Linked DNA regions of Notamacropus eugenii. The protein of the gene in region 1 interacts with the protein of each later gene in a biochemical or structural test. Links are inferred from orthologs where the notes say so. Each region holds a gene or a part of one and is shown in the gene's direction. Other genes may lie near its edges. The genes, in order: RAB5A, APPL1, OCRL and RBSN.

The links.
Region 2: the proteins of RAB5A (region 1) and APPL1 form a complex in vitro, tested with the Homo sapiens proteins (2 studies listed by BioGRID and IntAct, with this or other methods). The link is inferred for Notamacropus eugenii from reciprocal best matches to the Homo sapiens genes RAB5A and APPL1.
Region 3: the proteins of RAB5A (region 1) and OCRL form a complex in vitro, tested with the Homo sapiens proteins (2 studies listed by BioGRID and IntAct, with this or other methods). The link is inferred for Notamacropus eugenii from reciprocal best matches to the Homo sapiens genes RAB5A and OCRL.
Region 4: the proteins of RAB5A (region 1) and RBSN form a complex in vitro, tested with the Homo sapiens proteins (3 studies listed by BioGRID, with this or other methods). The link is inferred for Notamacropus eugenii from reciprocal best matches to the Homo sapiens genes RAB5A and RBSN.

The regions. Positions count from the first base shown.
Region 1 is NC_092874.1:34,215,175-34,222,335, reverse strand, and holds the start of RAB5A (ras-related protein Rab-5A), read left to right. Parts: upstream 1-4,143; 5' UTR 4,144-4,265; intron 4,266-4,880; 5' UTR 4,881-4,979; intron 4,980-7,161. Other genes in the region: EFHB (EF-hand domain-containing family member B), read right to left, coding at 1,850-1,912, 3,190-3,969. UniProt on the Homo sapiens protein: The small GTPases Rab are key regulators of intracellular membrane trafficking, from the formation of transport vesicles to their fusion with membranes.
Region 2 is NC_092874.1:467,907,401-467,914,249, reverse strand, and holds the start of APPL1 (DCC-interacting protein 13-alpha), read left to right. Parts: upstream 1-3,826; 5' UTR 3,827-4,096; coding exon 4,097-4,150; intron 4,151-6,849. UniProt on the Homo sapiens protein: Multifunctional adapter protein that binds to various membrane receptors, nuclear factors and signaling proteins to regulate many processes, such as cell proliferation, immune response, endosomal trafficking and cell metabolism.
Region 3 is NC_092879.1:51,288,435-51,295,337, forward strand, and holds the start of OCRL (inositol polyphosphate 5-phosphatase OCRL), read left to right. Parts: upstream 1-3,898; 5' UTR 3,899-4,086; coding exon 4,087-4,122; intron 4,123-4,360; coding exon 4,361-4,440; intron 4,441-6,903. UniProt on the Homo sapiens protein: Catalyzes the hydrolysis of the 5-position phosphate of phosphatidylinositol 4,5-bisphosphate (PtdIns(4,5)P2) and phosphatidylinositol-3,4,5-bisphosphate (PtdIns(3,4,5)P3), with the greatest catalytic activity towards PtdIns(4,5)P2.
Region 4 is NC_092874.1:431,153,690-431,161,145, reverse strand, and holds the start of RBSN (rabenosyn-5), read left to right. Parts: upstream 1-4,433; 5' UTR 4,434-4,582; exon of another isoform or gene 4,583-4,665; intron 4,666-5,449; 5' UTR 5,450-5,605; coding exon 5,606-5,753; intron 5,754-7,456. UniProt on the Homo sapiens protein: Rab4/Rab5 effector protein acting in early endocytic membrane fusion and membrane trafficking of recycling endosomes. Required for endosome fusion either homotypically or with clathrin coated vesicles.

The DNA.
Region 1 (7,161 bases):
AGAACTACTTATCATCTTTCCAAAAATGATTTTGGTTAGGTGTTTTAATTTGTGACAGGGAGACAAGGATGATGGAGGAAAATGGTTTGAAAACAAAAGGCATCAACACAGCTTTTTAACAATAATATTAATTTACTATTGCACTCCCTTTGAGTCTACTTAAACACAATGAAGTCCAGAACAAAACATTGTATATTACAGTCTGTATGAGTATACGCTATATATTTATAGTTCATATATACTATATATTTAGAGCTTATACTATATATAGTATACATACTATGTATAATACGTGTATGTAATCTGTTTATGAGAAAAAGTTATAGAATTAATTATTTTTAGTGTTAACTTTTTCTGTTAAGTATCAAACATAGGAGCTTAAAGGCCATGTAATACAAGCCCCTCTTTTTGCAGTGAGAGGCATATGATCAAGAGAGTGAAAAATACAAGAACATACAGATATGCAAGTCAAGGTTTCAAGTGGAGATTACCATCAGTATGTGTCAGAGGCAAGACATGAAACCAAATATACCTAAAGCCAAGGCCAGCTCTCTATCCGTAGTGTCACATTACCAAAAAAAAAAAAAAATTTGTAATGCAATTATTGAAATCATGAACTCATGAGATCACATATTCCCATCAGGAAGGAACCTCAGAGCACAGCTAGCTCAATCCCCTCATCTTCCAAAGGATTAAACTGAGGCCCAGAGAATGGTGATTTGTCTAGTCACTCAGGCAGTAACCATTGGAAGCAGGATTTGAACTCAGGTCCTCTGATTCCAGAATCTGTGTGGTTTCTTAGTGTTCCTTGCTAACTTCTACAAACAGAACTAATCAGTTGTAGTTCATCTGAAAAATCCTACTGAAAATCAATTAACAATTTGTCTCCCCTTTACCTCTCATGTAAACAAATTATATTAGCAGCATTTAGAAAATCAATATTCAAAAGGCACTAGCATCTCAAAGGACAAAATACTATTAGATTTCTTCTAGCTGGCATGAATTTACTTAGTAATGGTTACTATCAAGAGCTGGCATTAGTATCCAGCTTTCTGGATTATAGTCCCTTGAGATGGTATTGAAAACATTATAATTTGCATTTTTTAAGTGAAGGTCAGATAAATTATGACTAGCCCAACATAATACAGTTAGAGGCCTCAAGAGTCAGACTTGATCCCTATGAGGTCTTTTGACTAATATTTGTAAAGCACTTAACACTGTTCCTAGGTACTTAATAAAATGCTTTTTCTCTTCCATCTTCCTTCTCTTTCCATTACACTGGGACTGCCACTATAGGTCATTGGCTTACAGTAGTTTGGATTTGGGTAGGAATTTAACAACGCTCTAATCCAGGGGTAGAGATTCTGTGGACTGGAGGTCACATGTGGCCCTCTAGGTCCTCAAGTGTGACCCTTTGACTGAATCCAAACTTCACAGAACAAATATAGGTCCTCAGGTATGACCCTTTGGATTGAGTCATAGGGTCATACTTGAGGACTCAGAAGGCTATATGTGGCCTCGAGGCTGCAGGTTCCCCACCCCTACTTAATTCCATCCTTTTATTTGGTAGATAAATCAATTTAAGTCCTAAAAGGTTAAGTAGTTTGTGCCAGAACTAGAATGCAGGCCTCCCTCCAGTGCTTTTTCCCATTACACCTTGAATTCTAGTATATTTGGAAGCCTCATATCACTTTCACCTCTCACCAAACTGTTAGAAGAGGAAAGCCTCTAAATATTTCCAATACCCATTTTATATAAGCTTAAGGGAGAATACAAAGAGTTAACTAAATTGTCTTGAAGGTCCTATCTAAGGCAAAGAAATAAGCAAGTATCTATTGACAATACTCACTGGAGGCCATTTTTCAGTTAAACAGGTTTCAGCTCTGTCTCCAACTGGAATAAGCTTCCCTGCCTAAAGAAGAAAAAAAAAAAGGTAAAAAAGTAAGAGATGAAAACTAAAAGGATCAGCACAGTTAGGGATGAAAGTGACTTTGGAACTTGGCCTGGGCCTGTGTTTTCAAGTGAATTACAATCCCAAGTAAAGTAAAAAATAAAATGAAACAAATGTATACATACACATATATACTAGTATATCTTCATAGAATCAAGTCATATCATATCCCCTGAAAAGGAGACTATAATGTCACTAATAATAATCTCAAAATAAACAATGAATGGAAAAGTAGAATCTCTTCAATCTCAAAATAAACAATGAATGGAAAAGTAGAATCTCTTCAATCACTTTCTTGGGTCCAGAATGGATTTTTGCTTTAGGACCATAGAACTGGAAGGGACCATGGAGTTCAACCTCCTCACCTTACAGATGAGAAAAGGGAAGCCCAGGGAGGTTTAGGAACTTGACCAAGGTCATGAAGGAGGTGAGCATTAGAGATGGTATTTGAACCCAAACGCTACTGCAGGATTCTAGAGCCAGAGCTCTAACAATGTGAACACTATTTTTCCTTTGGTTAGACTTAAATATGTCCTACTACACACCAGTGGGGCTGGAAAAAAAAAGGGAGAACATTAGCATGACATGGGGGAAAGGCAGCTCAGAAACATGGGGAGAAAATGCTGAGAAAATGAGGAGTGGGAAAGTAAATATCCAATAGGGTGAATTGGAGAGAGAAAAGCCTTTAGTGGGTATTTTAAGGAGAACAAAGACATTCAAAAATGGGTGATCAGTAGAAAGACAACATTCAAAAGGTGTATTATGGAGCTTTAATAAAGCATATCATCAAAAGAAATATGTGATTGGAAGAGGCAGATTCTTCATGTAGTCAGAGTCAGGGATAGCAGAAAGAACCTAAGTGTTGTGCTAGTGCTTTCAAAAGGTTCATAGATGAAAGAAAAGACTCTAACACACCCAGTAACTCCTTCCTGGAGAGATTATGAGAGGACATGGGCAAAAATGAAATAGAGAGGTTGATATCTGCAACAGCGAAGAGACTATACCCTACTAAGGAAATCATGGATCATGTTAGCATCCAAGGAAACAGAGATCCAATGTGGGGGCAAAGGAGTAACATAGAAAGTTTCTACAAAATAATAACTGGTGTCCATAAACCGCAATCGGAAGCCAGTGTTCTAATTTAGTTGTCATATTAAGTACACCACTGGTCCCAGAGAAAGGTAAGGGGAAGGAGTGAGTTAGAAAAGTATAGGTGTGAAAGAGGACTCAGAACTCACACATGGCAAGGCAGGATTACGGTCAATAAATTTCCCAAAATAAATGGGTCTCGGCTTATCTGGCTGCTCCACTCCGGGTTCCAAATCCTTTGGAAGCTGGGGAGCTCCTTCGGGCTTGGTCCCGAAGTCGTAAGTTGGCGGCTCTATCACCAACCCTATGGGGTCCCTGCTCTCGGGCTCCAGGTTACACATCACCCTACTGGGCAGTCCAGTCTCCGGGCTGCCCAAGGGCTCCTCCTCCTCGGGGGCTCCCAAATTCTCGGGGCAAAAGATTTTCTCTGCGAGCTCGTTCACTAAGCCCATGTTGGGCTGCGGACAGAATGGGGCTTGCGCGGCCAGCTTCTCCCGCATTTTCCGCAGATCCTCCGGGTCCCTCTCGCTGTACCTGGCCGTGGGGGGCCGGGTTGATAATCCCAAACCACTCTTCATGCCCAGGGCAGCATCTGTCTCCGCTGAGGGCAGCATGTCCCCCAGGAGGCTGGGGCGGTTGGGGCAGCGAAGCCCCGCAGAGTGCAGCTCCCGGTACTGCCCCCCGCCTTTATCCAAGTACGGCCAGTTACGCCCCTCCACGCAGCATTTCGAAGACGGTATAGGGTGGGCCTTGGGGCCCAAAGGAGGTGAGAGCTTCAGTGACATCAACCGCGGGGTATTAACGGAGCCCATGAGGCAGCCTTGCCCTGGGCTGAGAACCGGCCTTTTTCCCGGGGGGGTATTCAAGACCTCGGAGACCTCCTTCTCCCGGGGGCTCCCTGTCTCCGCGGAGTCTGATGGGGGCACCATGATCGCAGTCTCAGGTCTGGACTCCCCTCCAATCCTGGGCCGCACCAAATGACCCAGAGACTAAGGGAGAGTAACTGTTTAAACTGGTTACCTAGGGAACGGGGGAGGGCCGTGGGGTGCCCCGCCCCCTCGGGCCAGGTCTCCTTTCTCCCCTCGCTCTGGACCCATTGTGAGGTTTTGGTTTCGAGAGGAAAGGGAGCAAGTTACCTACCTGCTCCCCGCCGGCTGCCGGCTGCAGGGACAGGATGTCTCTGAGTTCCTGTTTCTCTCCTCTGAAGGAGACAGAGCTTGGAAAGGTGCCGACACCTTATGACTTATCTAACATATGGGGCTATTGAATCAAAGCTGTAGAACTGGAAGGGACATTTTTGGGCAGTGAAGCCCAACCCCTTTATTTTACAGATGAGGAAAGTGAGGCACAAAGTGGTTAAGTGACTTGCAAGCAGGATCATACGGCTAGTAAGTGTCTAAGATTAGATTTAAAACCAGGTCTTCCTGACTTCCGAGGGTAGTGCTTTTATGCACTACAATTCACTACCTGTTACAGATAGTTTTGATTCTATTAGAGAGAGTAAAGGTGTCACTTAGGAGCATAGCTTTTTAAGCAACCCTTCTTTTTTCTCTTAATTGGAATTGTTTATATCTCCAGAATTTCATTTTTGAGAACTTCCCATCTCTCCCAGCTAAACTCACCTGAACTCATTGAAATCTGCTTTCCCAGAATCTAAGGTATATGTCAGACTATACCCAGATCTCTTCTCCAGTTCTATTACATTCCAACAATCAGTTTTCCTTATTGGTGAAGGTTAGTTCTTCACCTTTTCCAGTATGGGAGGGGAGAAATCACAGGATAGGATGCTAAATTTGCATCTACATTTTTATAAAGCTAGTATACATTTCCTTTGCATTAGGGATTCCAGACCTGAAAGAACAAGCTTCCCACCCATGAAAAAGGTACCATATTTGGAGTCTGAAGACCTGGTTTGAAATTGTCATATTGTAATGAAAAGGTAAGGTAGAAAATGCTTAGAAGGCATGCTTAGATGTTCTGCTGTGGGCAGAAAGTTCTGGTAGATGTCTAGATAACTGAAGTCTTCCATCACTACATGTCATACCTCCATGTCAGCCATCTAATACTCCCTAAAGGCCTTGTCTTTTCCCTCATTCTTTTCAGATGGTCTGTGATATATTCCTATGATAGAATTACTTCTACCTCACTTTATCTTTGCCCAGAAATTGTCCCCATCACGCCAATGAACATTTATTACCATGTGCTAGGCATTGTGCTAAGTGCTAAAAAGTTACAAAGAAAAAGCAAAAACAGTTCCTGCTCTCAAGAAACTTATATTTTAATGGGAGAGACTATATAAATGACTACCTACATATAAGACACACAGAGAATAGGTGAAGTGCCCATTAGAGATGAAGGCACAAGCAGCTGGGGCTGCTAGGACTCCTAAAGAAGTGGAATTTGACTTGAGTCTTAATTGCAGCCAGGGATTCTAAGAGTCAAAGGGAGGGAGGGAGGGCATACCAGGGCAGGAAGGCATGGGGAACAGCAAGGACAAAAGTGGGAAGAATGAACATGGAATGTCTTGTGTTTGAGTAACAGCATGTGCATCAGTAAATATGAGTTGCAGAGTTCATTACAGTGCTTAAGACTGAAAAAGTGGGAAGGTGCCAGGTCATAAAAGCTTTAAATGCCAAACAAAGGACTTTATAATATTTAATTCTGGGAGATGACAGTAAGCTACTGGAGTCTAATGATTAGAAGGTGATGTGGTCAGATCTATGTTTTAGGAAAATCCCTTTAGCAGGTGCAAAGAGTTTGGAATGAAGAGAGACTTAAGGAAAGGAGACCAAGTAGAAAGCTATTGTAAAAAAAAATTAAAGGAAGAGAGAAAGAGAGAGGGAGGGAGGAAGGGAGGGAGGAAGGAAGGAAGGAAGGAAGGAAGGAAGGAAGGAAGGAAGGAAGGAAGGAAGGTGTATATCCCATTTGAAATGTCCAACAAAGTGTTGGTGATGCAGAACTGGAGCTCAGGAGATCTGGGAATCATCTGCTTGGAGATAATTAAACCCATGGAAATAGATGAGACCAACAACAAAAGACTATGGAGAGAAAAACAATGGAGAACAGAGATTTGTGACACACCCACAGTTAGTGTGAGTGACATAGATTAAAATCCATCAAAAGACTGAGAACTAACAGTCAAACAGGTAAGAAGAAAACCAAGAGAGGAAAAATGAGTTTGAAAACCAACACTACTACTAGATCTATAATCCAAAGGGATCAAAGAAAGATGAAAATGATCCATATATGCAAAAATAATTATAGCAGCTTCTTTAGTTATATCAAAAAACTGGGAACAAAGGGAGGACCCATCAACTAGGGAATAACCAGACAAATTATGATATGTGAATGTAGTGAAATAGCACCATAAGAAATGATGAAAGGGACATTTTCTGAGAAACCTGGAAGATGGGCATGATTCAGAGTGAAGTAAGTGGAACCAGTATTACAATTTATACAAAAACAACAACACTGCAAAGAAAAACAATTTTAAAAAACGAACTACGGCCAATGCAATGACCAACCTTCAGAGGACCTAAGATGAAACGCATTACCCACTTCCTGATAGAGAGGTGAGGGATTCAAGATTCAGGATGACAAATTGGACAAGGCCAATGTGGGGATGTGTTTTGGTTGACTGCAAATTTTGTTACAAGGCTTTTATTTCTCTTTTTTTTTTTTTCCAGTTTGGGGTTGGGTGGAAGGGAGTAAGAGACTAGGGATAGGATAGCATCTTCCCTTTCACCCCCCAAAAGAGAAAAGGTCACTGAAGCACTTCTGAATGTACAAAAGAAGACAGAATCACATAGCTGCAGGATAGCTTTAAAAGTAACATGTTAAATTAATTATTAAAAAAGAGAGGAAAGTTGTATATAACACATTTGAAGACTGACATACGTTCCTCTTTCTCTTCTTCTATATGGAATTGCCCATTTTATTTACAGTTTGTTAAGTTCAGAATAGAAGATATATAGATTTTAAGATGAAAATAAGGGATAGGAAGAGATAGAAAGATAAAAAATTATCATCAGATAAAGCACATTCAGAGTTCTTGAACATGGAAGTAGAAGACTTATGGATGATAAGATCAAAGGTATGAGCACTCCAATGCTGAGGTGAAA
Region 2 (6,849 bases), about 430 Mb from region 1:
ATGCAAATCCCCATAGCTTTGGAGTTCATTAGGGTTTAGCCCTTGAGGTCCCAGGCCTACAGCCCAGAAAACTCCTTAGAATGTCACCGGTTGCCATACCTGCCTCCTCTCTAGCCCTGGGCTTGCTTCTCTGCCGCTGCCTGCACTGTGCCCCATACAGTTAGGCTTGGGCAATCCCAGGTCCCAGTGAGCCAGCTGCCCCAAGCACATTCTTTTCCTAGATAGTCTTTGTCCCACTGCCCCTGCTGGAAGCCTGGGGCATGAGGAGCCTGGTACTGCTAAAGTCGTTTAGAAGACTAAATCTCTGACTCAAGACCACCCAACCTGGCATGAATCTGCCCCATCCCACTCCCAAGCACTCTGTAAAGAGCTGAAAGGGACGTTAGAAGTCACCTAGTCCAACCCCCTTATTTGACAGATAAGAAAACAGAGGCCTGGAGTCAGGGAGACCTGAGTTCAAATCCTACCTCAGACACTAGCTGTGTGACTCCAGGCAAGTCATTTAACCTGTTTGCCTCAGTTTCCTCATTTGTAAAAAGGGGATAATAATAGTATCTACTTCTTGTTTCACCTGTAGCTCCAAGATGTAACATGTGCAGTGGCCACACCCCAATAAACCTGTCTCAGCAAATGGGCTAAACCAGATTGAGGGTAACCAATGGACCTCCAACCCATGGTGAGTTAGGATAACTAGCCCAAGCACGTGAAGATTTCCTCTGGCAGAATGGGTACATGGGTACAATTTGTTCCAAGGGCCATGAAGGTGGCTAAAGCAGGAACTGTGGAATGGTTAGAGCCTGGTCAGACATCCAAGAGGCCACGATCATCTGCCACATCCCTAGCGGTCTTGACTTTTGTCTTTGCCATTGATTACGCAGGAAGAAAGAGTGAAGCTGATAATGGTGACTCTTGTAAATCCAATTCACTCCATGATCTCATTGGTCCTCTTTGAAAAAGAGGGGGGAACAACAAACTCTATATAAAAAAATGTTAACGATGATTCCAGATAACATTCATAGGAATCTTGAACAAAGAAGAGATCTTAATATGATAAAATAATTTAGAATTAACATTCTATATTAATACAGTCATTACTCATTCCTTCCCTGAACACTTCCTGAAGAACTGAAAGGATTTCCTTCTGGCTATCAACACCTTACACTCAACTGCAGAAGAGGGCCAGGGGCATCCATAGATGGGTCATGTCCTTAATGCAATCACTCAGGGGGTATAAGGAGGCAGTTAACTTACCCAGTCCGAACTTAAATTTGGTTATTATTCTTAATCTAGTTCCCTAAGAAACGCCTTAGCTTTTTTTTCCTTACCTACCCTCCTAAAGAGGGAAGTCTGGAAAGGGCTTTAGGCTATAGTAAATAACCATTTCTTAATATTTTCAGTTGACTCAGAAAGAAAGTTCTTAACCTGCTTCTACAAGTCCCTTCAAATTCTCACTTAAGCCTCTTTTGAAATGCTTACATCACCACTGGCAACCTGAAATGGCCCTCAATTGAATATTATTTGAACTATAAAAATCCATCCTCTCTGTAACAGCCCCTCTAAGAATGGAGATCTGCCTCCCCCCCAAAAGAAGCCAGAACCCTGCAAATGGCTCTCCAGCAGGGGCTACCTTCTGCCATCAAAGAAACTCCCCCTCCACCCAACTTTGCCCATGAAAAAGTTGACCCTTGCCAGGATGCTGAAAAGGTCCACAGTCATGGCTTAAAGACATGATAACAATGACTGAATCTCAGAGCTGGAAGGTCTCTCAGCAGTCACCTCATCCAACCCACTCCTGATCTGTAATTAATTCCCTTGACACTACCCCTACCAAGTGGTCCTCTTGCTGGAAGCCCTGGAGAATGAGAGGCGCCCACCACCTCTAGAGGCAGTGGTCTGTTTCCGGACAGCTCTGCCTGAATGAGCTACCCCCAAATGACCTCTTGGTTCTCCCGAGCAAGGCTAATCCTCCTTCCAAGAGAAGAAGCCTTCGATAATCTGAAGACAGCTGTCAATCAACATCAATCAAATAATCAATAAACATTTATTAAGCACCTTCTAGGCACCAGGCACTACGATAAGCACTGGGGATACAAAAAGAGGCAAAAAATTGTCCTTGGCCTCAATGAGCTTACGATTTAACAAGGGAGACAACAGGCAAACAAATCTATACCAAGCAAGCTAACACAGGGAAGGCACTGGGAAGGCTTCCAGTAAAACAAGGAACTTTCCTGAGGAAGGCATAGAAGCCAGAGTCACGTCCCATCCTCAAGTCTTCTGTTCTCCAGGGGAGTACCCCCAGTTCTTTCTGCTGATCATCTCCAGCTCGCACAGTTGTCCCAGTCACCTGGGGGGGGGGGGGGCACTCCTGGGACGCCATAAGCCCAGCAAACACTTGCCCTATTTCCTTTGGTTTTTCCATTTCATTGTAAACTCCCTGAAAGCAGGGACTGCCTTTTGCCTACTTTTGTATTCCCTGGGCACTTAGCATAGTGCCTGGGGCATAATCCATGCTGATCCATCGAATGATTGATTCTCCCAGCCCATCAGACCTTCTAGGGTTATAGGGGTGCCCGAGGGCTACACTGCCAGGGTTTTCTGACCCCTTGGCACAGCCAAGGGTGTCTTTAGGGCCAAGCCCTCAGGCAGTCTGCCCCAGGAGTTTCCAAGGGAAGAGTGGCCTAGGTAACCAGGCTTCCCAGGGCCCCACCGTGCCATCTCCCTGGGCTCAGTCGGGGAAAGCCAATCAGCATCAATTAAGCACCTGGTGTGTGCCAGGCACCGAGCTGCACCAAGGTGAGGTAAGAGGAAAGCAAAGGGCACGCTGGGTGGTCTGGGGGCACGGCCTGGCACTGCTTGCGGCAGAGGGGGCAGGGGCGGGCAGGGAGGCATCCCAGCCAGTGAAGGAGTGGAAAGCAAAGGGCAGGAAGGCAGCCGGGCCCACCACGATCCCGTGCGTGCCTCAGTTTCCTCCCCTGTAAAACGACCCCATCTCCGGGGCGTCCTGAAGACGGAATGACGCGATGCTACCCGCAGGCAGCCCCCTCCTCCCTCGGGTGCTCCCCAGGGGGCCGGGACACCCGGCCGGCCCGTCCCCAGCCCCCACCCCGGGCCTCCTCCCGGAGAGGAGCTGGGGAGCGCCCGGTCCTGAGCGGGCGGCCGCCTGTCAGCGAGCGCGCCGGACCGACGGACTGATGGACTGACAGACGGACTGATGGACGGACGGACTGACCGAAGAGGTAGCCAGGCCTTGCACCCCCGAGGGCAGGGGCGGCCCCCAGCCCCGGAGGCCCTGAGGTCCAGGCGGGGTCGGGGCGCCACTCCTCCACGGACCCATCGCGGACTCAAGCTCGGAGGAGTGTCCCTCCACACCCGCCCAGGGCACGGCGTGGGGCACGGGGCAGACAGAGGCGCGGAGTCCGCGCCCCACGGCCCGCGCGTGGGCAGCCCAGCAGGGCTGGCAGCGGAGGGTGCTGAATGACGGGGGAGCGCCCGGGTCCCTTCCGGAGGTGAAGGGGGGCCGCGCCCCCGGCTCCCGGAGCATCCCGAGCCTCGGACCCCGCCTGGGCCCCACCTCCCCGCCGGGCGGGGCGCCGGGAGGTCCTTGGGCTTGGGGTGGGGGCGGGGGGGAGGAGGGAGGCTCGCGCCCGCGCCGCGGGAGCGCGGAGAGCATGCCCCGCCCCCCCTCGCCCCCCGCCCGCCTCTCCTCCGCTAGGCCCAACGTCTCGAGACCGCCCGCCGCCCCCGCCCTTTTTGCTCTAGCAGACTGGCGTGGCCGCCAGCCAATGGACGGCGCATCTGGCCGGGCCTGGCCAATGAGGGGCAGAGGGGCGGGATTTCCCCCTGCGGTCGTTCCCCGGGATCCGAGGCGGCGGCGGCGTCCGCGGCTGAGGAGGCGGCGGCGGCGGCGGCGGACGGGAGGACGGACTGACGGACGGGCGGGCGGGGCCGGATCCGGTTCGGTCGGTGGCGCGCCTGCGAGGGCGGAGGGTGCTCGGGCTGCGGCTGTCGCCGTCGTAGTCGCCGTCACTGTCGCCGCCGCCGCCTTCTCCTCAGCTCGGTCCAGACCCGACCCGGGCCGGGCCGCCCGCCAGCCGCCATGCCGGGCATAGACAAGCTGCCCATCGAGGAGACGCTGGAGGACAGCCCGCAGGTGAGGCGGCCCGCGAGGCCTAGGGAGGTCCGGGCGCGGCGGCGGCAGCGCTGCCCCCTCGGCCCCCAGGTGTCCGGGCCCGGCCCCTTCCTCCCGCCCCCCGCTGGGCTCCGGAGCCCGGCGCGCCCCTCCTCCTCCCTCTCCTCCCGCGGCCGTGAGGCCCCGAACCGGGGGGTTCCCTGGGCCCCCGCGAGGCCCGGGCTGCGAACCCAACTTTGGCCGAGAGACGATGGGGGAGGGGCGCCCGCGGCGGCTGGACCTCCCGGCCGGTCCGCGTCGTCAGCCCCGGGGGCAGGCCCCCACCGCCTTCTCCCCACTTTTCTGGGGTGACCCGAACCGCGCCCCCGCGCCGGGGTAGACCCGCTGTGACTTTGTGCCGTGGGGGCGGGTACCCCGCCTGGTGGTTGGGGAATGTTCGGGGGCTGGGGGCCCCCCCGAGCGAGCCTTCATCGAGCTCCTGCTGTGTACCCCGTGCTTCGGGCCGCAGCGCCGCTGCCGCCGTTATCCGCGAGTCACCGAGGAGGAAACTGAGGCAGGGGCCGCCTCCCCGCCCCCTCCTCGGGCTTGCCGGTAGCCGGCGGCGCGCCAGGTGCGCGCGTACCTGGGCGGTGCTGGGGGATGGGCCGTCCCGGGGGCCTGTTGCCGTGGGGACGGTCCCAGCAGAGCCGAGACGTCGTCGGAACGCGGCCCTTGGAGCGGATCTCCTGAAGGAGTGGGATGCCCTCGGATCGGGCGGAAACGCTTTCTGGAGCCTAGAACCTGCCCCCATGACGGGGTTTTGTAAGCCCGCGTCAGTGCCAGGAAAGTAGTTTGTACAGACCCGCTGCCTGCCTGATGATGCGTTTCTGGTCCGCTTCTACCGATGCGAGGGAAGCAATCTCCTGAGTTTATGGGGTGTCCTGAGTAACATTCCTATCTGTCCAAACCTCTCTGGGTTCAGTCTGCTATTAGTATGTAATGTGTAACGTAGTACATGATCAGAATTTATAGAGGGATCTGTTAGGATCATATGAAGGCAGTGCTGCATAATGGATAGATAAGTGGTCTTGGAGCTGGAAAAATTTGGATCCAAGTGCTACCCTCTGACATCCTGACTGAGGGACTTTGGGCAAACCCCTGGACCCCTGCCTTGGTAAAGGAAGGTCTTCTCTGGGAGCTCCTGCCACACATTGAATCAGAGGTCTCTATCCCTATTGATAATCAGCAAGCATTTATTAAGCCCTCCTTAATAAATGTGCCTTGCCCTGGAGATACAGGTACAAAGACTGAAATAATCCCTCTTGGCTGTGGAGAAAACAACAAGTACAAATATAAGTGTATGCAGAAGAAATACAAACTTGTTGAATACGATTTCACGTAGAAAGTGATACCTGAGCTATACTGCCTCGAAGGAAGAGAAGGATTCTCTGAGGCCAAGATGAGGAAGGCATGCATTTCAGGGATGGGGAGCAAACAGCCACTTTGGTGGCATCACAGAGTGCAGGGAAGGAAATTACATCTAGTGAGGCTAGAAAGACAGCTTAGTCCTTGTTTGTGGAAAAGCTAAGGAGGATTTTATATTCTAGAGGCAATGGGGAGCCACTGGAGTTGATTGAGTGGGAGGGTCACAGGGCTTACGGAAAATCACTTCGGCAGCACTGTGTAGGGTGAGGAGAAGTAGGGAGAGACAAGGCAGGCTTTTGTAATAAGCAGGCAAAAGGTGACCAGAACCTGAACTAATACTGGTAATAGCTAACATTTGTTAATATTATAACAGCTAGCATAGCACCTTGCTAGGCACTGTGCTAAGTATTTTACAGATATCTCACTTGATCTTCACACCCCTGAGAAACTGAGGCAAAAGAGAATAAGTGACTTGCCCAAGGTCATACCAAAGGTACTAAGTATCTGAGACTACATCTTCCTGACTCTAGGCCCAGGCACCTATCCACTCTCTCCTTCTCACTCCCTGAAGCTGCCTACTAAGGTGGCAGCTGTATAAAGTAAAGAGAAATAGTCTCAAGAGATGTTAGGGAGGTAGAAACAGCAGGATTTGGCATTTGATCGATTGATTGGCTGTGTGGGTTGAGGGTGAGTGAGCAGTATAGCATAATGCCAGTGTGAACTTATGAGAAGAAAACAGAGAGCTTGGGGGGGACAGATAGTGAGTTCAGTTTGGGGCCTGTTGGAGATGCCCCTAGGACATCCCACTTGAAATGTGTACCAGGTAGTTGGTGATTCCGAACTGAAGCTGAGCAGTGACATGGAGCTGATGAAATCACCGAGAGAGAAACTAGAAGGAGATGAGAAGAGAACTAGGAAAGAACTTTGGGGAACACCCACAGGTAGGCAGTGTGACATGGATGGGGAATCAGCAAAGAAAATGGAGGGGAGATCAGACAGAGATGAGAGCATACCAAAGAGGAGAGCATGCTCAGCTGTATCTAATGCAGTACAGAAGCATAAAGATGGAAAAAAGACCATTTAAGAGATAGTTGGTAACTTTGGAGAATAGCTGCAGGTGAGTGATGAGGATAGAAGCCCGAATGTCAAGGGCTAAGGAATGAGAGGAGCAGAAGGGCAGGCAGCAGGAGACTGCTTTACCAAGGAGTTTGCCTGAAAAGGGGGGGGGGGGGGGGGGGATAGAGGATGCTAACTTGAGGGAATGGTCAGATCCAGTGAAGGTTTAAGAATGAGGGAGACTTGGGCATGTTTGAAGG
Region 3 (6,903 bases), on another chromosome or scaffold:
GCAGTCTTGACGAAAGTGATCTGCCCCCTCTATTCCCTAGCTTTCCACATCTATGATCCGGTTAAGGTTTTCCTTCTTAGTTTGATATCTGACAGTTATCTAACTGTCAGGAATCTAACATAGCAGCTGCAGCAGGGAAAATGTTAAATATCCTTTCCTCAATCTTGATGATAGCTTTAAAATGCTATTGTGTGTGTCCCATCAGCTTCAACTCACGGCAGAGGGTGGGCCTACTTGGAACACTGTCACTGTGTTTCATCCTTGGTCCTTTCTTCATCTTTGCAAAATATTGAGCTCATGAGTGAGGCCTCCTAAAGTGCCATTAAAGAAATATTACATTTGCTCTTTTTAGGCCAGTGTAGAAAAGGAAGTTGGTGGGAATGGAACAGTGTAGGGAAGGAAGGAGGAAGAGAGGGAGGGGGGGTGAATAGGGGTGGTAGTGTCAAAAAAAAGAATGCTTATCTTAAGTAATTGCAATCATATTTTAATTATAGTTATATTTAACTATATTTTAATTATATTAAACAATTTTGTGCCTTGTGGTCTTGTTGTTCAGTTGTGTCTGGGTTTTTGGGGTTTTTTTCAACTAAGATAACCGGAGGGTTTGCCATTTTTTAAGGACTCCAGCTCATTTGACAGATGAAGAAACTGAGGCAAAACAGGCCTAGGGTCACATAGCTAATAAATGTCTGAGGCAGAAGAAGTCTGCCTGACTTCAGGCTGGGCACTCTATCCATTTTGCCACCTAGGCCCCTCTTATCTTTCCCAATAGATGTAACCTCTTAAAAAAATTTTAGTTGATATCTTTGGTTTGCATATCACTTAGATTTTCCCCTGTATCCTTGCTTTCACTCCCTACCCCCAAGAATTGTAATTCTTTAAAGGACTGACTTTTATCTACTAGTTCAACCCTGGAGATACCCAAAAAACTTTTTTTTTGACCATCTATGAACCAAGGGGCAACCCAGACTCTGCTTTGATTATTTCCAGGAACAGGGAAATTTCCATTTTTGGACAGCTTAGTCTAATGGGTCATTTGATGTTACAATTATGACTCAGTTGATTGAGTTATTAAATAACTATGCATTTAAACATTTGAAAATTTTCTGTATTCAATTGAGGGGCATCTACACAAGTTGAAGCCCTGCCTTCAGAGAGATTACAATATTGAGGTCCAATTCTATTCCTGGAACTTTCCCATCTCTTCTATTCACTTCTCCTTAAGCAATAATCCTGCTGTGATGCTGCTCACGTCCCTCTGCTGTCTCTGGACATTTGTCAAACCCTAAATTCCCCATAAAATGAACTAAATACAATACTCCAGGTGTGGTGAGACCAACGTAGAGGACAAGTTTAGGACATTCTTCTCCCTCCCTTTTTCTGGATGCTCCCCTCCCCCACTTTAAGTCACTGCAGTCCAAGATGATATATCAGTTTTTTTTTTCTTTCTCGCAGATGTCTATCTCATGGTTAAAATTCATAATGAACTCAGGCAAAATGCCCATCTTTTTTCCCTTCTTTTTTCCCACACAGACATCCAGGCCATGTTTATTCTCATGTCAAGAAATGGCAGTTATTTTTTTTTATCCTTTCAAAGTTAAGAACTTCCCATTTTATTCAAGTCCCAGTGGTAAGCAGGTCTCCTCACTGCTTCCTGCCTTCCGAGAAAATAAATGATCCATCTAGACAAGACTTTATCAGACTCTGCTTTGAACATAACTGAGACTTTAACACAAATCCTGTTGAATTCAGGGAGTTTAATCCCCATAATAGTTCTATATATGTATTTTTACGGAAAGCATAGCATATGGATAGAGAGTCAGTTCTGGAGTCAAGAAAGGATCTGAGGCCATTTGTACCACCCCTCATATAGACATACTGGCTATGTTGCTCCTATGACCCTGAGTGTGACACAAATAGGACAAATTTTTTAGTGCCCCAACTTTTTAGTGCCACATTGTTTTTGCACTGGTGTAGTTTCCTGTAACTGGTATAATATTGAATAAATAAAAGGGGAAGGGGGAGGAGGGGAAGGGATGCCAGGCCTGTGATATTATTATAGAGTAGGGATTCCCATGTGGAAAACTGTGACACTTGATCTGAGTGTCTATTTTTCCACTCCAGTAAAGCCCCTGGAAGGCAAAGGTTGCTGGGGTTTTTTGTTTTGTTTTTTTTTTTAAATTACTTTCTTTTGTATCAATCCCAGCTCACTACTATGCATATAACAGGCAAGTCAGATTTTAACTCATTGACATTTCTGTTTCTCCAGACTGGGCTTCCTCCTCCCTCCACATCAAAACAGCCCAGTTTTGTTTCTTTTTCTTTTTCCCCCTGTTTTTAGGGAAGATTATCTGGTTGCTGGGGGCAAGGAGAAGAGAGAGAGACCAGGGTAGGAGGGAATTTGAGTAATGGGAGGATGTGGGATGTGGATGGGTGGGTGTTGGGGCGCAGTAAGAAAGGGGAGGGAGACTCCACAGGATTTTCCAGATGGGATCACCAAGACCTTAGTGATTAGAAAAGGCGGGGATAAATATGACCAGAGTTTGGGGGGTGGGGCAGGAAGGAGGGGATAAAGACATTTATGTAAACTCAAATGGGGGGGGGGGGTTAGTACACACACAGATAACTATGCTATTTAAGAGATGATGATAAATGCAGCGGTGTGAGGTACCCCAAGTGTGGTTTGAGCTGGGGGTGGGGGTGGAGGTGCTAGACAGAAAGGGATGATGGTTTTAGAAAATAAGCTAGAACATTTTTACCTGCTGGCAGAACGTTGTCACTCTAGTACCGTAGAAATTCGTTAGCCAGAATAAATTAAACTAGGAACCGAGCAGAGCAAGGAACTGGTTCTTCCTCTCCCCACCCTCAAGTCGGCGGGCGATGGGCCCAGGTGGGGGGTCTGAAGTGTTTACACTCTCCTACAGGGTGGGGGTTCTCTCCACCATTGCTCAGAGGGCTGGGAAGTCGGCTTGCCTTGGGAAATGCTCAGGATTGCCGGTTTACTGGGCTGCCCTGGACAACAGCGGGAAAGAACCAGGCAGAGGGCACTTGAGCAGCAGGAGAGGAGAAAGGTGGGCGAGCGCCTGCTTGTGCGCGCGCGCGCGCGCCTTTTCAAAGGCCCTCAGGGCATCATTAAACACATTCGAATCACAGAACAGACTGTCAAAATGGAAATGATCAGATTTAGGGATCCTGGATCCTAGAAATGGAAGGGACCTCAGACCTTGTCTAACCCAAGCCCCATAATCATACAAGGCTGTACAGTAAACATCAGAGGGTCTTGCAGAGCTAACATTCTTGCCTCTAGGTTCCACGGGGTCATTTTCCTCCAAGTCTCTTTGGTTAATTTAATTAGCACAGTACCATCCTGGCACTTTTTGGGGAGGTGGGGATGTGGCGGATGGGGGGAGGGGAGAACCTACCAATGAATAATTTCATCTGTGTATCTCTGGTGAAGGAACCTCATCTACCAAAGCACATGGGCCCTTTTGAAACAGCCTGATTTCGAGGTGCCTAGGGCGGTCCAATGGATGAGTGGCGAAATATCACCCAGGGTCACCCAGCCAGCTATACAGTAGCTGAGTTAGAACAGGAAAGTTAGGCTTTCCAAGCTCTTTTTACTCGTCTGTGCACGGATAACTGGAAGGGCCCCAGGTTGGAGAGGATGATCTAGGGCGTCCATTGTCGTTTCATTGAAAGCCTGCGATCTCAGCAGATGGCTGGCTGGCTGGCTTCCCAGCGGGGAGCCGCGGCCGAGGCTCGAGACTCCGGCTCTGCAGTGGCGGCACTAGAGCACGCGGGGGCGCCGTTGGCGGAGGGCGGAGCCCTGCGCGCAGGGAGGCGCTCGCTCCCTCTCACGCTCACTGGCTCTCGTTCTCTCTGCTGTCCGCTCGGGGCGCTCTCTCGCAGTAGGAGCGCGGGAGCTCTCTGGGCAGCTGTTAATTTCTTCCGGCAGACCAGGCGAAGCGGGGCCGCCCGGCTGGCGGGCCGTCAGGCAAGCGGAGGAGGGCTGCCGATTGGGTGGTCGGGTTCACACCGTGCGATCGGTGTTCACAACCCCCGGCGCCGGTCCGCTCGCCCGCCCGGATGGATCGGCCCACGACCAGAGTGCAGTTCCTCACAGTATCCACCTCTGGGAAGGGCGAGGGGCGAGGGCCAAGTCAAGGGGGAGGCGGAGGAGGGAGGGGGAGCCCGGGAAAGAAGGGGGGTCGGTCGTTGTCGCCCTCGCTATCGCACGCAGGCGGGGCGGCGGCCGTGACCGAAACGGGGGTCGGGCGGGGCTGGGGCGGGAGCGCGCCCCCCTCCCGAGGCACCCCTGCCTTGGCTTTGAGCTTGGATTCCTTGACTGTCCCCCCTTCATACAATCGAGGGCTGGGAGTTGAAGGGCCCCGAACGAGAGGCCTGCCGCTTGATCCTGGCTCGAAGGGGCGCACAGTCTGAGTAAGTAGCCTCGGGATCGGGCTAGGGAGGAGGGAAATCCTCTGGGCCCTGGGTACCCCCGGCAGGCAGGGACTATTCCGCCAGTGCCAGGCGGTCAGCCTCGGCCACCACCGGGCGCGGCGCCCGGGCCCAGGGTGAAGAGCAGTGCCTTCCGAGGGCTGGGCGGGGCCGGGAGATGGGAGAAGGGTTGAGGGAGGGGTAGGAGAATTGGGGAGGGGGGACCCTGGGTGGGGGGGGGAGAGGAGAATGGGAGGAATATTGAGGGGAGGAGGATGGTGGGGGACGAAGGAGGATGGGGAGGAGCAGGAGGGGAACCTGTGGAAGGCCCTTTTAAGAGCCCCTAGGGTTGTGCCCCAGTATAAGGACGCGCCCCCCCCCCCCGCCCCCCGTAGAATTAAGGATCTGGGAGGGGCTCTATTCCTAAAATCGTCTTTTTAGAGTAGAGGCAACCTCAAAGGTCTTTGATCCCAACCCAATCATTTTACACGAGGAAACTGAGGCCTAGAGACATTAAATGACTTGCTCAGGGAGTCACTAAAGTGTCTGAGACAAGATTGGAATCCAAGTTTTCCTGACTCTAAGTCCAGAGCTTTGTCCATGTTACAAATCTTACTGCCAACCTCATTCTACTGAGAGATAAGGGGGGCTCAGGGAAAGGATCATAGATGTAATGATAATAGTTGCAATAATTACAATAATATTATCTCATTTGATCTTCATAACAGCCCTGGGTGGAAAGTGCTGTTATTATCCCCATTTTACAAATACGGAAACTGAGGCAAACATTGATTATTTGCTCAAGGTCACATGTGGCTAGAAAGTGTCTTAGGCAGGATTAAAACCAGGGTATTCCCTGGGTTTTCCCCACCTCCTAGCATGGTGCTGTGGTTATATCTAGCTGCCTAGATTTAGAACCAGAAGGGAGCTCCAATGGGCCCCTATAGAGACAGTCCAGGTCCCCTTTATTTTCCAGAGGAGGAAACTGAGTGATGGCGGGAGAGAGAGGAGCTACCATACCAAAGGTCTCAAAAGTAGCAGAGTTGGAGATAAAGAACTCTAGAAAGAATCCAATTCTTTAATGTTACAGAGCAGAAAACTAAGGCCAGAAGTAAAGAATGCCCTGCTCTGCCACTGACCTATTTGGCCTTGTCACTTCATCCTAGTAATAATAAGAACAAATTACTTTTCTCTATCTCCCCCGCTTCCTTTTCTCTTTTGTATGGTCTTGTGATTTCATAAAGAACTCTGCACAAGGTAACTCCCTCTACCATGAGAAATCAGTCCAGCTCTGAATCCTAAATCCTGAGAAAGTTGATCATCTTGAGTGACTTGCTCAGGGTGATGAAACTTCTATGTTATAGAAGGGACTTTGAACCCAGGTCTTTCTGACTCATCTCTGGGCCAGCTCCAAAGACTTGGGCCTTTTTATATCGCCTTATGATTTAGTGCTTCCCTCATGCTCTTGTGAGGTGGGTAATACAAATATCCCCATTTTACAAGTGAGGAAACTGAGGCTTAGGAAGAGGACAAGTCACATAATGATAACATCTGATATTCCTGTAGCGTTTGAAGCTTTATTGATTTTACAGGTAAAGAAACAGGCTCAAAAAGAGGGTACCTCACTCACTTTTATCATAATAGTAGTATCTGACTTCTTTGTTGCCTTTAAAGGCAACAGCCCTACAAGATAAATGGTGCAAGTATCATCATTCCCATTTTTCAGGGGAAGAAACTGAGGATTAGAACTGGAAAGTGACTTTCCCAAGGTCACAGAGTAAGAGGCAGGGCCAAAATTCAACCCCCAGTCTCCTCATGCAGATTTAATATTTTTTCCACTATATCATCTCCATCTCTTTAAGCTCTTGTTTCCCATGTCGTGGTAGTGAGAATAATAGCAGCTCTCCACCTTGCTTGGTCTTTTCAGTGTATGGTGGATAAAATGAGATAATAGATGGGAAAATGTTTAGGAAAGGATTAAATAAAAGTACCTTAGAAAATGCTGTTTTGTTACTTTTAACAGACTAGGCTTTGCCTTCTTTAATTCTGTACAACTTAATCCCCACTTGCAACCGTTGATGAGAAAATTAGGAACTCCTTTAAATGGAGGCTTTTGATGCCAGAATAGTGGCTTTAGACATTACCACTTTAATAATTTGACCTAGGGGTCACATGGCCAGTGTAAGTATCAGAGCTTGGGACTCAAGCCCAGGTCTCCTGGTGCTTCCCCCTCCTACTAAGCTAGGACTAATAAATAACTCTCCCTCTGAGTGACTTGGGGACAAATACTCTTAGTAGCTTCGAACAGCATGAAGTGGGAGTTTGATAAATTATCAATGACTGATCAAAAGAACACTCTAGTGAGCTGACCATGTGGCTGCCAGCTTTCATACCATTGCCACCTTATCCGTACTCAAAATAGCTCTCGTAGTGACCACAGTCATCAGCATTACCTGTGCCAAGGGC
Region 4 (7,456 bases), about 400 Mb from region 1:
TTCTTTAGGGAAACACCTTATAGGAAGATGTGAATCCGTGAGAAATGTGAATTGAAGTCACTTGATGTCTGTCTGTTACAGGTTTAAAGATGGAAAGTGCCTCAGAAAGGGCACTGGAATGGACAGGGTCAGCCTGGAGCTGGGCCAATCAGATGCTCTTTAATATAGGCTGATGTTTCTAGATCTGGGTAACAGGGAAAAGGCCTGACCTAAAGTTTCCTGTTCAGTGAGGGGCAAACAGCTTCTAGTCAGTTATAGTGAGCCAGGAGCTGCTTACAAGGGGTCACAGGATCATAGGATGTAGAGCCCAAAGTGGCCCAGAAAGACCTCCCAAAGAGCAGAAGAGATGGAGACAAATTTATGAGACTCTAGGCCAGAAATGAAACTGACCAGTATGTGTACATGTATGTACACACACACAGAGTTATGTATGTGCATTTATACATATGCAACTACAATTATACATAAAACTATGTAACCGTATATCTATTTATAACTATATAACTACCTATAATATATAACTATATACCTATATACCTGTATATATAACTATAGATTTATAGAAACCATAGAACAAATATAACCATATAACTACAAAACTATGAATAACTATATACCTAAATATGCCCGTATATTTACATAACTATGGAGCTACATAACTATATATAACCAAATAAGGACTACTATATAACTATATAGGACTATATGTAATTAAATATCTATACATAATTACATAATTAGGTAACTATATAACCACTGCTATATAATTATATATACATAGGGTCAGCTGGGTGGCACCGTGGAGAGAGCACTAGACTTTGGAGTCAGGAAAACTCCTCTTCATGAGTTCAAATCTGGCCTGAGACACTCACGAGCTGTGTGACCCTGGGCAAGTCATTTAACCCTGTTTGCTTCAGTTTCCTTGCCTGTATAATGACCTGAAAAAGGAAAAGGCAAACCACTCCAGTATCTCCACCAAGAAAACCCCAAATGGGGGTCATGAAGAGGTGGAACTGACTGAACAATTAACTGCATACACCTATATGTAGGACTATAGATAATTATATGACTACACCTGAAAATATATCTAACTATACATATCTATAGAGCTATCTACAATGACATAACTACATATATATATGTATATATATATATATATGCTTGTATACCTACATAACTATAACTACAATGACATGGACTAGATTTATATATAACTCATTGGTTGTTCTCCTTCATTCTTGGAGGACCAAAATGACATCACTGTGATAAAGTCAAGTTTCAATATGTCCGACTGTGGCTGATCAGACCAATACAAGCTCAGAATACCCTACCACACATTGGGCACAGATAATCTGTGTGAACATTTGGAGTGTCTACTCCAAATTTGTGAGTCCTATGTTTCCTTTGTGCTGTTTCAATTCCTGTGCCCGTGTCTCACATGTGGCACACTCAAATCCAAAGTTCTTGACAGAGACCTTGAGGGTGTCCTTGTGTCGTTGCTTCTGGCCACCATGTGATCACCTGCCCCATGCAAGTTCTCCATAAAATAGTCTTTCTGGCAAGCGTACGTTTTGCATTCAAACAACATGGTCAGACCATTGGAGTTGCGCTCTCTGAAGCATAGTTTGAATGCTTGGCACTTTAATTTGAGCAAGGACCTCAGTGTCTGGTACCTTATCTTGACAGGTGATCTTCAGAACCTTCCTAAGATAGTCCAAATGGAAGCAATTCAGTTTTCTGTCATGGCGCTGGTAGATTGTCCATGTTTCACAGGCATACAACAATGAGGTCAGCACAACAGCTCTGTAGACCTTCAGTTTGGTAGTCAGTCTAATACCTCTTCTCTCCCTTAGTTTTCTTTGGAGACCCCCAAACACTGAGCCAGCTCTGGCAATGTTCATGTCAATCTCATTGTCAATGTGTACATCCCTGGAAAGTACACTACCAAGGTAAGTGAACTTATCCACAGCCTTCAAAACTTCTTTATTTGTTGTAACCAATGGTTCTACAAATGGATGGTGTGGTGGTGGCTGATGGAGCACCTGTGTTTTCTTGGTGTTAATTATTAGGCCAAAATTAGCACAGGCAGTATAGAATTAATCCATACTTTGTTGTACGTCAGCTTCAGAGACTACATTGAATGCACAGTCATCTGCAAACAGAAAATCATGCACCAACACTCTCTCCACTTTGGTCTTGGCTTGTAGCCTTTTCAAATGGAAGAACTTATCATCAGTATGGTAGTTGACCTTGATGTCGTGTTGATCCCCACTGAAAGCATCTCACAACATGGCTGAAAACATCATGCTAAAAAGCATGGGAACAACTACACAGTCCTGTCACTCCTTTGGTGACTGCGAAGGCACAAGAGCATTGTCCACTATCCAGAATCCGGGCAAACATGCTATCATGAAATTGATGTGCAATACTGATGAACTTCTCTGGGCAACCAAATTTTGACATAATTTTCCACGAGCCCTCATGACTAACAGTGTCAAAGACCTTGGTCAGATCTATAAATGTTGTATATAGACCTCTGTTCTGCTCCTGGCATTTGTCCTGGAGTTGTTGGCCAGCAAACACCATGTCAACTGTTCCTCAGCCCTTTCTGAAGTCACACTCTCAGGTAGATGACCATCTTCCAGGTGAAAGATCAGCCTATTAAGAAGGCGTTAGCAAGAACTTTGCCAGCAACGACTAAGAGAGAGATCTCGCTGTAATTGTCGCAGGACAATCTATTTCCTTTTCCTTTATAGAGATGGACAATGGAGGCATCCTTGAACTCCTGGGGAATAACCTCCTCTTGCCATATAACCTGGAAAATTTCAGTCAGTTTTTGTATGAGCAATGGTGTCCCTACCTTGTAAATGTCAATTGGAATAGAATCAGCATTAGGTGCCTTGCCACATGAAAGGAGCCTAATGGCTCTCAAAACCTCTTCTTCAGTTGGAAGTTCAACTAAGGAGGGATTGACTTCAACCTGAGGCAAAGGGTCAATGGCCTCATCATTGACTGATGATGGTCTGTTGAGAACACTAAGGAAGTGTTCAGTCCATCTCTCTACGATCATGTCCTTATCACTAATCAATGTGGCTCCATCAGCACTGAGTAGTTGTGATGCACCATAGGTTTTTGGTCCATAGATAGCTTTCAGGGAATCATAAAAGCACTTTGGATTGTTACTATCAGCATAAAATTGAATTTAATCTGCCTTCCTACTGAGCCAGGAATCCTGCATCTCTCTAAGCTTTGCTTGTACTTTACTTTTGATGAAATTAAATGCTGCCTTCTTATAGCTGGATGAACTATCCTGCTGGTAAATCCTATGGAGTTCTCGTTTTTCGTTTAGCAGCTTCTGAATTTCCTCATTATTTTCGTCAAACCAGTCTTGGTGTTTGTGAATATTCTGACCCAGAAGAGCAAATGCAGTGCTGTACACCAAATCTCTGAAAGCTGCCCACTCCTTTTCTGCTCCACTGTTGCCAACTATGTGTGGCTCAACTTTCCCTCCAAGTTAGCAACAAACTGTTCACGCTCAGAGAACTCTAATTTGTTGACACTAATTCTTCTGGTAGTCATTTTTCCTTGGGGTCAGCGGTTTTGATGAATGTGAATATTTGGCTTGGAAAGGATAAGTCTATGATCAGTCCAGCACTCTGCACCACACATTGCCTTTGTCACTCTCACATCTTGTCTGTCTCTTCTCCTTACAATCACACAGTCTATTAGATGCCAGTATCTGCCGCAAGGGCGCATCCATGAAGTTTTATTGGTTTAGGTAAAGGGAAGACAGTATTGGGGATGAGGTCATGTGATGCACAAGTCTTCAGCAGCCAACGACCATTGCTGCTGCTGTTCCCAGCTCCATTCCTCGCTAGGACTCCCTGCCAAGTCTGATACATGTATACGTACATACATATACACACACATACACACATGTCCTACAACTATTACAACTGTACATCCGTATAACTCCTTGTAACTGTAACCCTCTCTAGGTATGCTTATTTACTTACATGACTAGAAGTACAGCGGCATGACCATATAGGACTGTTGTGATGTCTACATAACCGCCCCCTATATACAATTGCAGAATGACATAGAGAACCTTATATAATTAGGATATGACTCTATAACCTAGATGTAATCAATGAACTACACAAGGAGAACCCATGCCCACTTAATTACAGATGCCTGTGTGTGTAGATCTCTAACAGGAGCGGGGCGGGGGGGCTGTCTTTTGCTCTGCCTTGCCCCTGGGGGGCGGGGCCGGCGGCGACCACAAGCCTGGTCTCCCTCTTCCCCGCCCTCTTCCTTCCCCACGCCTCGTCTCCAATTCTCCCGCGGCGCCTGCGCAGAGGCTCAGCTCACGCAGACACTAGCTTCGCTCCCTCCCTGCCTGGGGTGGCTCGATAACTCGGTGCTCGATGAATGCGTCCCTGCCCTGCCTGCCGCGCAGGCTCTCTTGCCGAGGGCCGAGGGCATGGATGCGTGATGGCCGCCCGGGCCCAGTGAGGGGAGAGAGGCGGAGGAGGGGCGAGCCCCCGGCCCCGTGGGCGGCACTGGTCGCAGGCCTGCAGCGGTACTGAGTGCGCCCCTTCCTTCCGCCCCGCATCGCATCGCGGGCCGTTCGGGGAGGGAGGAGGGACCCGCGGGGGGCGGGAGGTGAGGCTGGAGGGGGGGAGGGGAGCTCTGGGAGGAGAAAGGGGAGGGGGCGTGTCGGCGCGGGGGTGTGTGTGTGTGGGGGGGAGGGTATTTATTGTGTGTGTGTGTGTGGGGGGGGGGGGGGGTCCGTCAGTCACCCCTCATTCAGCGCTGCAGCCTTCCCTGGGCGGATCCTGGGGAGGGGGTGGAGGTCCCTCGGGGACCTCCGTGGGAGAATGGGGGGCCCCCCCTTGGCCGAGGTCCGGGGGTGCTTCGCCTCCAGCCTCGCGGCCGTGGGCCTAGCCCGCCCCGGTCCGAGGGGTCTGAGGCCGGCCGGGGCAGACTCCGGGCCCCCGGAGGCAGAAGGGGCTCCCCGGGCCCGCCGCGCTTCCCCGAGCGCTCGGGGTGCGGGGTGCGGGTGCGGGGTGCAGGCTTAAGCGCGCTTTTATCTTTCCAAGTTCCAGGTGCTTTAAGAATGTGTTTCTTACTGAAAAAGCCTTCCTCTTATTTATTTGGGTGGGGTCAAGTCCACACCAGGGGTTCTCAAAAGTGGGGTCTGCTGGGGGCCCCCAAAACCTTTGGGACTTGGAGGCCAAAACGACTTTGGCGACAGTGCCGAGACTTGTAAATGTCCAGTTACAGTAACTGTCGGTGCAGAGCACGCCCAAATCAAAGCTCTTGGGGGGGGGGGGGGGTCCTTGGGGCACAGTGGGAGGCCGTGCCCGTGGTGGAGCTTGCCCCGAGTTCAGATGCAGCCCAGGTGTCCGGCCCCCTCTCACCTGGCTTTCTTCCCGTTTATTTGCAGGATTCCTTCTGTGGCTGACCAGAAACCCCCCCCGGGGGGCCATGCCCTTCCCCAGCCTCTGCCTTGTGTAAGCCGGCCCCGGGCGAGCTGCGCTGCTGAGAGGCCGGCTCCCTCCTGGACATGCAGTGACCTGTCCTCTGGAAGTGCCAGGCCACCATGGCCTCTCTGGATGACCCTGGCGAGGTCAGGGAGGGCTTCCTGTGCCCTCTGTGCCTCAAGGACCTGCAGTCTTTTTACCAGCTCCAGTCCCATTATGAGGAAGAGCACTCCAGCGAGGACAGGGATGTCAGAGGGCAGATAAAAAGTAAGAGGCCTGCCCGCTGGGTGCACTGGGCTGCGGGGCACTGCGCAGACAGGCTGCCTGGAGAGTGGAATCCCTCGGCCACTTTCCTGATGTTTTCATCAGTGACAGCTCGCACGCAAGAGGAAATGAGATGATAGTTTTACACTAAGAGTCTGGATAGGGTAATGATGGGGTTTGGGGGAAAGATAGGGTGGTGATGGGAATGCAGAAAAGGCAGATATATTCCTGAGCGGAACATAGGCAGCGTGGCACAAGGGATAGGAAACTGGCTAGGAGACTGGGCTTCAGATATCCAAAACAGAGAAGTATTAGGTAGGGTCATGAAGCACAACTGGACCAGACAGAATTGCTGGGAGAAGAAAAAAAGGCTTTGAAAATATGATCAGTAACATCCTTCATGTGGCAGTTTTGGTTTAGGGCCCCTAATGCTGGTTTACAACGTGCATCTCTCTGCTCTACAAAGAAGTATGTAGTGATGTGTGGATGCTAGCAGTTTTTATACTTTATACAGCAGGTACTTCTGTAATATTCATTCACTGGTCAGTGATGGTGTGAATGGGGCCTAGGGTTTTATATTAGACTGCTAGTAAGATTTATTCTCACAGTATCACCTGTCTGCTTCCTAGTGTCATTTTTGTAAAATTTACTCAGAACATCCTAGTATTTTTTTGGGAATGTTAGGCAAAAAAAGAAAAAAAAACCTCTTAGACAGTTTCATTTATACTCTGCCCACCCCTCCCCCCCAAAAAAGTTTGTTTATGTCTACAATGTATTTCAGGTGATTTATTTAAAATAGATGAAATGAGACATTGTTCCTTTTAAAGGAACTCTGAGAATTCTTAAAATGTCCTCCATTTTTCCCATTTTGGGGTTTTTAATTTTATGTAGTTAAAAAGTTAATTTGTGAAGTCCCCTAGAGGTCCCAGGGAATCTTTTATAGGATGGAGAGGATGACCTTTGTATTGACCTAAGTTGACAAATGTTCCAGTCTTAGAAGCTAACAATAACATTTTGAAAATATGACACCAAAGATTAATGAAAAGCCTTGTCAGAGTATACCGCATTTCTCCCTTATATCATAGCCTTCATGGTGCTAGCTTAAGGAGGCTAGCTTAATAACAGATATTGAACTGAAAAGAGCTAATTTTGGATTTGGGACATCTGGAGTTTATGGAAAAGTTATGTGGCTAATATCAGTTGTTAGTTAAGAAAACATCCTTGCTGTATGGATCTTTGGGTTTTGATTTATTACCATGGACCTACTTATCATCAGAATGATAATTTTACTTAAATAGGGGAAGGTGTGGTTGAGAGTTGAGATTGGCCTCTCAGTTATTTCAGAAAAGATTATTTAAAAATAAAGACAGAATTATTCCTAATTAGTTTCCTGATGAAGGACCACACCCATTTTGAGAAGTTTGCCAGGAAGTACTTTAGTGACACTCAATAGAAGTTAAGTGGTGCAGTCTTTCTAAAGTGGCGCCCTCTAGCTGAGTTTGCAATGTGCATTAATATTTCCAATTTTCTGCCTGGCAAATTTCTGTTCATTTCATCCTATAACCTTTACTCCATTATTAGTAAGGATGACTTCAATACTTTTAAAACAGCTTTTTTTCCACCTGCTTGAAAAAATACTGTAGAGTAACTGCCTGATTAGCATCACTACATCAGCAAAGAAGTTTCCATGCCGTTATCAGTCATAT